3 linked regions of the Xenopus tropicalis genome follow. The main gene of each other region encodes a partner of the protein of the gene in region 2 in a complex. Links are inferred from orthologs where the notes say so. Each region holds a gene or a part of one and is shown on either strand. Other genes may lie near its edges.

Region 1 (3,500 bases), about 22 Mb from region 2:
TGAGTTCCATAAACTGGATAAAATATGGGAGAGCCACATTATCTTGTAGCACCTGATCCAGTGATTTTGAAAGGCTGGACTTTGTCTCTTGGGCCTCATACTTCAGACACGATCGACCTATGTATCAACAAAAAATTACAATGGTCATTGGCTTACAAGTCCTTTATCCTCCCTAATAAACACAACCAAATCCCACATAAGGCATTATGGTACAGCGCCGCTTCATTTAGATGTAACACTAAATTACAATACTTTGTAATGCTCAGTAAGTCCTACTAGCAGAGTACCTTGAGTTATCAAACACACTAAAACCTACTTCATTCATACTTCATCTAATTAATAAGGTCATACAACAAATGAGCTGGTGTGGTAAATCAGACTGATCCAGTCATTAGCACAAAGGCCATATGAATGTATTACACTGGTGCAGACCGGTGAGGTGGTATGACTCCGCCTAATGACTAGTATTATTGGCCTTAAGTTAGTTTTTGCTACCTACAGACCTTTCACAGTTGCTGTCTGGTTTTCAAAGGCTTTTCCAATGGTCCTGTTAAGTACGCCTTGACAAAACAATGACCCCATGTACTCTACCTCTGGCTCTCGCTAATGGCCCCATGCAATTGCTCTCTGGCTCTCACCAACTGCCCCATGTACATGACCTCCGGCTGCTGCAAAAGCCCATGTACTTGTTTGTATATACAAATGTAAGCAAACCAGCACAACTGTTTTAAATGGGGTACTCAGTTGTTAGCATATCTTACCAAGATCTCCAAAATGTGTTGCTTCCATGTGCATCGGGTGCTTCTTGAGGGCTGCAGTTCTGCTACTTGAATAGGAGTCCATGTTAGCTGAGATGGCATTGATAGCCACATAGCTGGGTCCCGCAGCCTCCAACAAAGCATTGTTTTTCGGACTTCTTGAAGGGGAATGTACTGATGCCGGTGCTTGAGCTATTCAAAGAATAATCATCAGAACATATAAATCAACCACCATTACAATCATAAATAAGACTTGTTTTGTTAGTATGTTGGTCCAGTCAGCTGGAGCTCTACAATGCATTATTATTAAAGGGGTTTGGAAATATAAATAGATAGTCATTTAAATAATATTTGCAATTTAGTTTAATTAAAAAAATGAATCATCTTCAAAATAGCTTCCTGCAAAGGTAACGCTACATAGATTCTTAGTGCTAACGCTTAATTCTTTTACCTCTAAATATCTTTACATCTGGCTTATCTTGATCTTTTCCTTTGCCTAGAAAGAAAAAAAATATATTCATTAATATCTGTGATAAAATACTACAAAACCTATTCAGATGTTCAGACCCCACCCCCACCCCCAGTGATGCTAAGAGTACTTTTGTGCTTCTAACAAGGCATCCCCCCCCTCACACAATTAAAATGACCTGGTCTTCACCAAACTGAGCTTGTCAATCCCATATATCCAATCTTGTAGAAGAGGCATTGATGAGTTAAACCTCAATTTACTTTATTTTACAGGTGAACACGGTATATGCAGTGCTTCCATTTATTGCTTGGTTATAAACATTCAGTGAAGCACTCTGACATCTGTCATTCTTTATTCATATCCTAATTACATTCCTTTTATTTATATAGTACTAGCACGTTAGGGAGTGCTTTACAATAATACAAACAGGGAATATCCAAACATAAGAATCAAGACACACAGAGATACTTGTCACAGTCACTAAACACCAAAAAAATACCCTGCCATAGACAATACTGAGAGATGCCTCTTCTAAAATACACATATAGAGACAATTATCAGTAAATAAATGATCAGCATTGTCTATCTTTGTAGCCATGATAAGTAGCTGCTGCTAGTAGCTCCGTGTGTCTTTACCCTTAGGGCTCTGGCACACGGGGAGATAAGTCACCCGTGACAAATCTCCCCGAAATGCCATCTCGGCGGCGAACATGTAAATCGCCGGTGGGATGGCATACGCGGTGCCGCAATTTCCCCGAAATCGCGGGAGTTTCCTCTCAATGGCCGCATATGCCATCCCACCGGAGATTTACATTTTCGCCGGTGGGATGGCATTCTGGGGAGATTTGTCGCGGGGGACTAATCTCCCCGTGTGCCAGAGCCCTTAGGGTGAAGACACACTGAATTACTAGTAGCAGCTCCTTTTTTTACAACTACTAAACTCCACAAAATACTTTGCCATAGATAATATAGAGCAGTGCTGTCCAACTGGCGGCCCGCGGGCCGCATGCGGCCCGCGACCCCCCTCTGTGTGGCCCCCCACCTGTCTGGCTGCTTTGATGGCTTACCTTTGAGTAAGCATTAAATGGTATCAGTTCTGAGATTAACAGCCCCCCCTGCATGGTTCTCACCTCAGATTCAGGCTGTAATCCCTCTGTATTGTTTAAATATGTAATCCCCTGTGTTTTTCACACCTTTTAGTTTCTGCATTGTTCACCCCCTGCAGTGTCCACACCTCAGACTCAGACTGTAATCACTCCCATTGTTCACTTCTTCACACCTCAGACATAGGTACTGTAGGCAGAGTATGGCACATACAGCCAGCATAGGGCAGGCAGAGTATGGCACACACAGGAAGGGTAGGGCAGGCAGAGTATGGCACACACAGTCAGGGTAGGGCAGGCAGAGTATGGCACACACAGGAAGGGTAGGGCAGGCAGAGTATGGCACACACAGTCAGGGTAGGGCAGGCAGAGTATGGCACACAGTGTCAGGGTAGGGCAGGCAGAGTATGGCACACACAGTCAGGGTAGGGCAGGCAGAGTATGGCACACACAGTCAGGGTAGGGCAGGCAGAGTATGGCACACACAGGAAGGGTAGGGGAGGCAGAGTATGGCACACACAGTCAGGGTAGGGCAGGCAGAGTATGGCACACACAGGCAGGGTAGGGCAGGCAGAGTATGGCACACAGAGGCAGCATAGGGAAGGCAGAGTATGGCACACACAGGCAGGGTAGGGCAGGCAGAGTATGGCACACAGAGGCAGCATAGGGAAGGCAGAGTATGGCACACACAGGCAGGGTAGGGCAGGCAGAGTATGGCACACACAGACAGCATAGGACAGGCAGAGAGTGCTGCCTGTGTGTGCCATACTCTGCTTGCCCTATGCTGCTTGTGGGAGGTAAACCTGGCAGGGGTTTGTTGTGGGAGTTTGTTAGCAGTTGGAAATAGCCATTAAATGGTCCCAAAGGTGTGTAATTATGTACTGGGGGTTGCTCTGCTATCCACAGGGGAGCAGGAGGCATATGGAATTTAAGGGTATATCTTAATATGACATAATTCTTTCACATATGAATGATGGTTGATCTCCCCACAGTAAGGACCAAGCATTTGGGATTTTGCTGTGCTACCACCATTGTGATAAAATAGGTGTGGTTTGAAGTGGGTGTGGTTTCAAAAAGGGGAGTGGTCAAAACTGGCTTCCATTAGCGGCCCTCCACCATGTATGCTAGAGAAATTCCGGCCCTCGGCACCGTAGAAGTTGGACAGCACTG
Region 2 (3,500 bases):
GAGGCGAAGGATCACGAGGAGGTGGTGAAGGTGATTCAGAAAGGAGGAGACAAGACCACTTTGCTGATTGCGGATAAAAAGACTGATGAAATGTATTCCCTGGTGAGGAACCAACTGCCAACAGGGTGCCCTGTGTCCTGCACCCCCAAACCTTTCTAATGTCTACTTGTATTTTGTAGATATTCTCTGTAGCTCCCAAGGTTTATGAAGCCTATTGCTTGATTTTCAATCGGTCTTCATTTTTTATTATTTGTAGTATTTTTAGTTACTTCACTTTTTGTTCAGCATCTCTCTAGTTTGAAGTTTATGCAGCTATCTGGTTGCAAGGAACCAAATTACCTTAGCAACCAGGGAGTGGTTTGAATGAGAGACTGATATATGAACAGGAGAGGGTCGAAGTTGAACAATAAGGTATAAAAAGTAACAATAACAATTAAATTGGAGCCTCACAGAGCAATAGGTTTTGGCTGCCGGGGTCAGTGACCCCCATTTGAAAGCTGGAAAGAGGCAGAAGAAGGATAATAATTAAAAAACTGTAAATAATAAAGACTAATAGAAAAGTTGTTCAGGATTGGCCATTCTATAACATACAAAAGTTAACACCCCATTTGAGCAAAGGTCTTCTCATTATGAGAGAACTACAGGAGATCTATAATATTCCTTTATGGCCCATAATTCCTGCCTAGACTATAATGTGAGATCTCACTGAAGCCACCAAAACCCCCTTCTGAGGGTGTCTCCTAATCACTATATTTGCACTTTCAGGCCGGTGTCTCACCCTATTTATATTTACAAGAAACCCAAGGGGAAATTAAGAGCAGCTCTAAAGAAGAGGCCACTCCAGCTCCGGCAGTAGTTCCATCGCAGACTCCGACACCAACTGTCGCCCCAGCCCAACCTTCTGCCGTGGAGCCGAAAAAACCTGAAACACCGGCTGCTCCGACTGGCGGCCAAAAGCACAAGCCCAGGCTGTGTAAGCTGCAGAAGGGTAACAATGGGTATGGCTTCCACCTCAATGCCATCAAGGATACCCCGGGCCTGTTCATGAACCAGGTATGGTGCCCATTGTGACTAGAGCTATAGTCCATAAAATACAAGCAACATAGTTACATGGTGCAAACCCCCTGCCATCTAGTCAACCAACTGAAGGACTAAGCAATTCTATTTATGTTGAGTAGTTAGAACAAGAACTTGTGTCAGTACTAACATCCGGTCCATTGACAGGTACTAAAGGGAGGTTCGGCAGATGTGGCTGGGATAAAAAATGACGATGTTCTGGTGGAGGTCAATGGAGTAAATATGGAGAAGGAGAGCTATGAAGACGTCTTGATTAAAATCAAGGAAACAAAGGGGATCCTGACTTTGTTGGTGGCATCACAGGAAGCCTATGACTACTTCAAGGGGCAGAAGATCCCAATAACTGCCTCCTTGGCAGATCCAGTAAGTGAGGTTTCTCCCAGCTCCAGTGCGGCTGCCCCGGCAAGCACAGCAAGCAAGGCAAGAGCTGCTCCTGAGCCAGCAGAAGTGGTGAGTAGGAATTATGTCTGAGAAGGTACTTCTAACATTGCTATTATTGGAGATGTAATGGAAGGCTATTTCCCTTAATGCTACCACACTTGTCCAAGTGAATCCATTGGGAAGCTTAGGGGCAAGAGATACTGTAGGTCAGTGCTGTCCAACTGGCGGCCCCCTCTGTGTGGCCCCCCACCTGTCTGGCTGCTATGATGGCTTACCTTTGAGTAAGCATTAAATGGTATCAGTACTGTGATTAACTGACCCCCTGCATGGTTCTCACCTCAGATTCAGGCTGTAATCCCTCTGTATTGTTTAAATATGTAATCCCCTGTGTTTTTCACACCTTTTAATCTCTGCATTGTTCCCCCCCTGCAGTGTTCACACCTCAGGCTCAGGCTGTAATCACTCCCATTGTTCACTTCTTCACACCTCAGACATAGGTACTGTAGGCAGAGTATGGCACATACAGCCAGCATAGGGCAGGTAGAGTATGGCACACACAGGCAGCATAGGTCAGGGAGGGTATGGCACACACAGGAAGGGTAGGGCAGGCAGAGTATGGCACACAGAGGCAGCATAGGGCAGGCAGAGTATGGCACACACAGGCAGGTTAGGGAAGGCAGAGTATGGCACACACAGTCAGGGTAGGGCAGGCAGAGTATGGCACACACAGTCAGGGTAGGGCAGGCAGAGTATGGCACACACAGTCAGGGTAGGGCAGGCAGAGTATGACACACAGAGGCAGCATAGGGAAGGCAGAGTATGGCACACAGAGGCAGCATAGGGAAGGCAGAGTATGGCACACACAGGCAGAGTAGGACAGGCAGAGTATGGCACACACAGACAGCATAGGACAGGCAGAGTGCTGCCTGTGTGTGCCATACTCTGCCTACCCTATGCTGCTTGTGGGAGGTGAACCTGGCAGGGGTTTGTTGTGGGAGTTTGTTAGCAGTTGGAAATAGCCATTAAATGGTCCCTAAGGTGTGTAATTATGTACTGGGGGTTGCTCTGCTATCCACAGGGGAGGAGGAGGAGGCATATGGAATTTAAGGGTATATCTTAATATTACATAATTCTTTCACATATGAATGATGGTTGATATCCCCACAGTAAGGACCAATCATTTGGGATTTTGCTGTGCTACCACCATTGTGATAAAATAGGTGTGGTTTGAAGTGGGTGTGGTTTCAAAAATGGGAGTGGTCAAAACTGGCTTCCATTAGCGGCCCTCCACCATGTATGCTAGAGAAATTCCGGCCCTCGGCACCGTAGAAGTTGGACAGCACTGCTGTAGGTGATGCAAACAAAATGTCACTAGGGGGGTCCCAGTTTTCAAAGAAGCACCTGAACTTCTAAGTGTCTTATTTAATGGCACATCCACAACAAGGGGCTGCAATTCCCAGCATGAAATGCTTCCCTAATGGCTCTCATTGAACGAGAGGTTGGTATGAGGGGGATAAAAGAAGATGGAAAAAAAGAAAAATGGTGGTGACTCGGTGTCGGACTGGGACCCCAGGGACCCACCAGAAAACCTTAGACTATAGGCCCACTCTCCAAACTATTTTTCCTCCCTTTCCTCAACCAACCTCTTTATTCTCATAGTTTATTTTATATACATGCTAGCATCTATTCTTCCATCAATTTCTCCCCTTTGTTCCCATTTAGAAATAGGGAATGACCATGCAACTGGCCAAACTGTTAGAAGCAAGAGGGCCCACTAACACCTAGGCCCATCGGGAGTTTTCCTGGTATCCTGGTGGGCCAGTCTGACACTGTGGTGACTGTACAGTGGAGCTCAATATAAACTAATTTGGGTAACAAATTGGCACATTGCATCTGACATTGCACTTTGCACACTGGGCTTGCAGTCGTAAATGACCCTTGGTGACTAGGTGTGGCTGAATGTGCCAATAAAGTGTGGCTGGGTTTGACTGTGTGGGAGTGTGTACCTGAGTTGGAGAGTCTTTGACTGAGTGTAAAGGTCC
Region 3 (3,500 bases), on a different chromosome or scaffold from region 2:
TGGCCCCCATCCTTGTCCTACTTGTCCCCATCTTGCCCTACTGTCTCAATCTTGCCCTACTGTCCCCAATCGTTGTCCTACTGTCCCATCTTGCCTACTGTCCCATCTTGCCTACTGTCTCCCTCTTGGCCCTACTGTCTCCATGCCCTACTGTCTCATCCTACTGTCGCCCATCTTGCCCTACTGTCTCCATCTTGCGCTACTGTCTCATCTTGCCTACTGTCTCACTTGCCTACCTGTCTCCATCTTGCCCTACTGTCTCTACTTGCCTACGTCTCCATCTTGCCCTACTGTCTCATCTTGCCCTACTCCCATCTGGTCTGTCGCCCATCTTGCCCTACTACTGTCCCTATCTTGCCCTACTGTCTCCATCTGTGCCTAACGTCTCCATCTTGTCCTACTGTCTCATCTGCCTACTATACTCCATTTGCCCTACTGTCCCCTTCATCTTGCCCTACTGTCTCCATCTTGCTACTGTCCCATCTTGCCCTACCTGTCTCCTGCTTTGCCCTACTGTCCCCATTTGCCCTACTGTCTCCATCTTGCCTACTGTCCCCATCTTGTCTACTGTCCCATCTTGCCCTACTCGTCTCCACTTGTCCCCCTTACTGTCTCCATCTTGCCCTACTGTCCCCATCTTGTCCTACTGTCCCCTGCATCTTGCCTACTGTCTCCATCTTGCCCTACTGTCCCCATCTTGTCCCTACTGTCCCCATCTTGCCTACTGTCTCCATCTTGCCCTACTGTCTCCATCTTGCCCTACTGTCCCCATCTTGCCTACTGTCTCCATCTTGCCCTACTGTCCCATCTTGTACCCACTGTCCTCCATCTTGCCCTACTGTCTCCATCTTGCCCTACTGTCTCCATCTTGCCCTACTGTCTCCATCTTGCCCTACTGTCTCCATCTTGTCCTACTGTCTCCATCTTGCCCTACTGTCCTCCATCTTGCCCTACTGTCTCCATCTTGTCCTACTGTCTCCATCTTGTCCTACTGTCCCCATCTTGCCCTACTGTCTCCATCTTGCCCTACTGTCTCCATCTTGCCCTACTGTCTCCATCTTGCCCTACTGTCTCCATCTTGCCCTACTGTCTCCATCTTGCCCTACTGTCTCCATCTTGCCCTACTGTCTCCATCTTGCCCTACTGTCTCCATCTTGCCCTACTGTCCCCATCTTGCCCTACTGTCTCCATCTTGCCCTACTGTCCCCATCTTGCCCCCTACTGTCTCCATCTTGTCCTACTGTCCCCATCTTGCCCTACTGTCTCCATCTTGCCCTACTGTCCCCATCTTGCCCTACTGTCTCCATCTTGTCCTACTGTCCCCATGTTGTAATTAAAGGAGTCTCACCTGACCGCTGCCAGGCCATTTGCTGGTTTGGTTTGGGATTCTTCAATCTAAAAATAAAATAAAATGATAAAGGTTCTTTTCTAGAGAGAGACTTTGTAGCCACAGGGAAAGTGGCCAATGAATGTGAAGGTAACAGAGCAGGTAGTAGTAGGGGGGATAACGGTTACAGTCGGGCGAAGCCTTTGCTGTTTCACTGCTTATTGGAAGGGAGGAAATGACAGTAGTAGTTGGTACTGGCACCGCCGACCCATAGTAGATACAGTGGGGTATCCCCCCTACTGACCAGATCGCAGTTCAGGTTGTCGCCGTAGACAAGGAGGCTGTAGCTGCTTTTCTCTTGGATGTGGATGGGGCAGTCTGCGGTTACTGCTCCGACTGTCAGTTTGGCATCAAAGTTATTGTGTGCGGTGGTGAGTTCCAGTTTCACGTAGTCTGGATCCTGTGCGGAGACAACAGGAGGGAAACGTTATGTGTCAGTCCCGGCCTGCAGTCTAACTGATGTGCAAAGCAGTAATATCTGCCCTATGCCCTATGCACCCAGAACCCCAAGGGTCGGGCATTTGCCCAGCAGGGGGCGGTACTTACCAACGCATTGGCACCGTACAGGCTGGGCTGTTTGATGATCTCAAACCCTGGGATGTCGACATCAACGTCACCACCAGCGAGATTTAGAACCTGCAGGTAACTCACCTGGGCTTTGGGCACCGGGGGCAGAGTTTCCTGCATGTGGGGAACAGACGCTGGGTAAATATGAGCCCTGGCATAGCTGCCCACAACAATGATGTGCCCTAAATATACTGGTTTCCAGCTGGCACTGGCTAATTCACACCCACCGATGCCCATGTAAAGACACATAACTACCCATAGACTCGCTGAAGCCTACCCACCGACCAATCAGTGATGCTCTTGAATAGTAACCATACGGATACACCCATGCTTACCCATGAACACACCCATACTTACTTATGAACACACCCATGCTCTCTAATGGATACACCCATGCTTACCCATGAACACACCCATACTTACTTATGAACACACCCATGCTCTCTAATGGATACACCCATGCTTACCCATAAACACACCCATGCTTACCCGTAAACACACCCATGCTCTCTAATGGATACACCCATGTGTTACCCATGAACACACCCATGCTTACCCATAAACACACCCATGCTTACCCGTAAACACACCCATGCTTACCCGTAAACACACCCATGCTCTCTAATGGATGGATACACCCATGCTTACCATAAACACACCACATGCTCTCTAATGGATCACCCATGATATGCCATGCATGCTACCCATGAACACACCATGCTTTCTAATGGTACACCCATGCTTACCCATAAAAACACTTACCCATGCTTTCTAATAGATACCCATGCTTACCCATGACACACCATGCTTACCCATAAACACACCCATGCTTAGATACACCCATGCTTTCCAATAGATACACCCATGCTTACCCATGAACACACCCATGCTTACCCATAAACACACCCATGCTTTCTAATAGATACACCCATGCTTACCCATAAACACACCCATGCTTTCTAATAGATACACCCATGCTTACCCATGAACACACCCATGCTTTCTAATAGATACACCCATGCTTACCCATAAACACACCCATGCTTTCTAATAGATACACCCATGCTTACCCATACCCAATGACACACCCATGCTTTCTAAATAGATACAAACCCATGCTTACCATAACACACCATGCTTTCTAATAGATACACCCATGCTTACCCAATATACACCCACCCATACACATCCATGCTTTCTTACCCATGATACACACCATGCTTTTCAATAGATAACCCATGCTTACCCATGAACACACCCAACCCATGACACCCATGCTTTCTAATGGATACACCCATGCTTACCCATGAACACACCCATGCTTTCTAATAGATACACCCATGCTTACCCATGAACACACCCATGCTTTCTAATGGATACACCCATGCTTACCCATAAACACACCCATGCTTTCTAATGGATACACCCATGCTTACCCATAAACACACCCATGCTTTCTAATGGATACACCCATGCTTACCCATGAACACACCCATGCTTTCTAATGGATACACCCATGCTTACCCATGAACACACCCATGCTTAC

What was found. Proteins that work in one complex are often made in the same cells at the same time.
Region 1: the proteins of pdzk1 (region 2) and akap10 are in contact, whole or in part, in a crystal structure (PDB 3TMH), measured with the Homo sapiens proteins. The link is inferred for Xenopus tropicalis from reciprocal best matches to the Homo sapiens genes PDZK1 and AKAP10. Residues at the interface, in NP_001188254.1 of Homo sapiens: Asn386, Gly387, Tyr388, Gly389, Phe390, His391, Leu392, Asn393, Ala394, Ile395, Arg396, Phe402, Lys404, Tyr436, Glu437, Val440, Ile443, Gln444; in NP_009133.2 of Homo sapiens: Pro655, Leu656, Glu657, Lys658, Ser659, Thr660, Lys661, Leu662.
Region 3: the proteins of pdzk1 (region 2) and slc15a2 are in contact, whole or in part, in a crystal structure (PDB 6EZI), measured with the Homo sapiens proteins. The link is inferred for Xenopus tropicalis from reciprocal best matches to the Homo sapiens genes PDZK1 and SLC15A2. Residues at the interface, in NP_001188254.1 of Homo sapiens: Asn386, Gly387, Tyr388, Gly389, Phe390, His391, Leu392, Asn393, Ala394, Ile395, Arg396, Gln407, Tyr436, Glu437, Val440, Ile443, Gln444; in NP_066568.3 of Homo sapiens: Glu723, Thr724, Lys725, Lys726, Thr727, Lys728, Leu729.

The regions. Positions count from the first base shown.
Region 1 is NC_030678.2:30,346,033-30,349,532, forward strand, and holds part of akap10 (A-kinase anchor protein 10, mitochondrial), read right to left. Parts: intron 1,255-3,500; coding exon 1,210-1,254; intron 951-1,209; coding exon 762-950; intron 118-761; coding exon 1-117. UniProt on the Homo sapiens protein: Differentially targeted protein that binds to type I and II regulatory subunits of protein kinase A and anchors them to the mitochondria or the plasma membrane.
Region 2 is NC_030678.2:8,070,598-8,074,097, forward strand, and holds part of pdzk1 (Na(+)/H(+) exchange regulatory cofactor NHE-RF3), read left to right. Parts: coding exon 1-102; intron 103-765; coding exon 766-1,053; intron 1,054-1,224; coding exon 1,225-1,527; intron 1,528-3,500. UniProt on the Homo sapiens protein: A scaffold protein that connects plasma membrane proteins and regulatory components, regulating their surface expression in epithelial cells apical domains.
Region 3 is NC_030685.2:88,685,674-88,689,173, reverse strand, and holds part of slc15a2 (solute carrier family 15 member 2), read right to left. Parts: intron 2,069-3,500; coding exon 1,934-2,068; intron 1,788-1,933; coding exon 1,632-1,787; intron 1,396-1,631; coding exon 1,349-1,395; intron 1-1,348. UniProt on the Homo sapiens protein: Proton-coupled amino-acid transporter that transports oligopeptides of 2 to 4 amino acids with a preference for dipeptides. Transports neutral and anionic dipeptides with a proton to peptide stoichiometry of 2:1 or 3:1.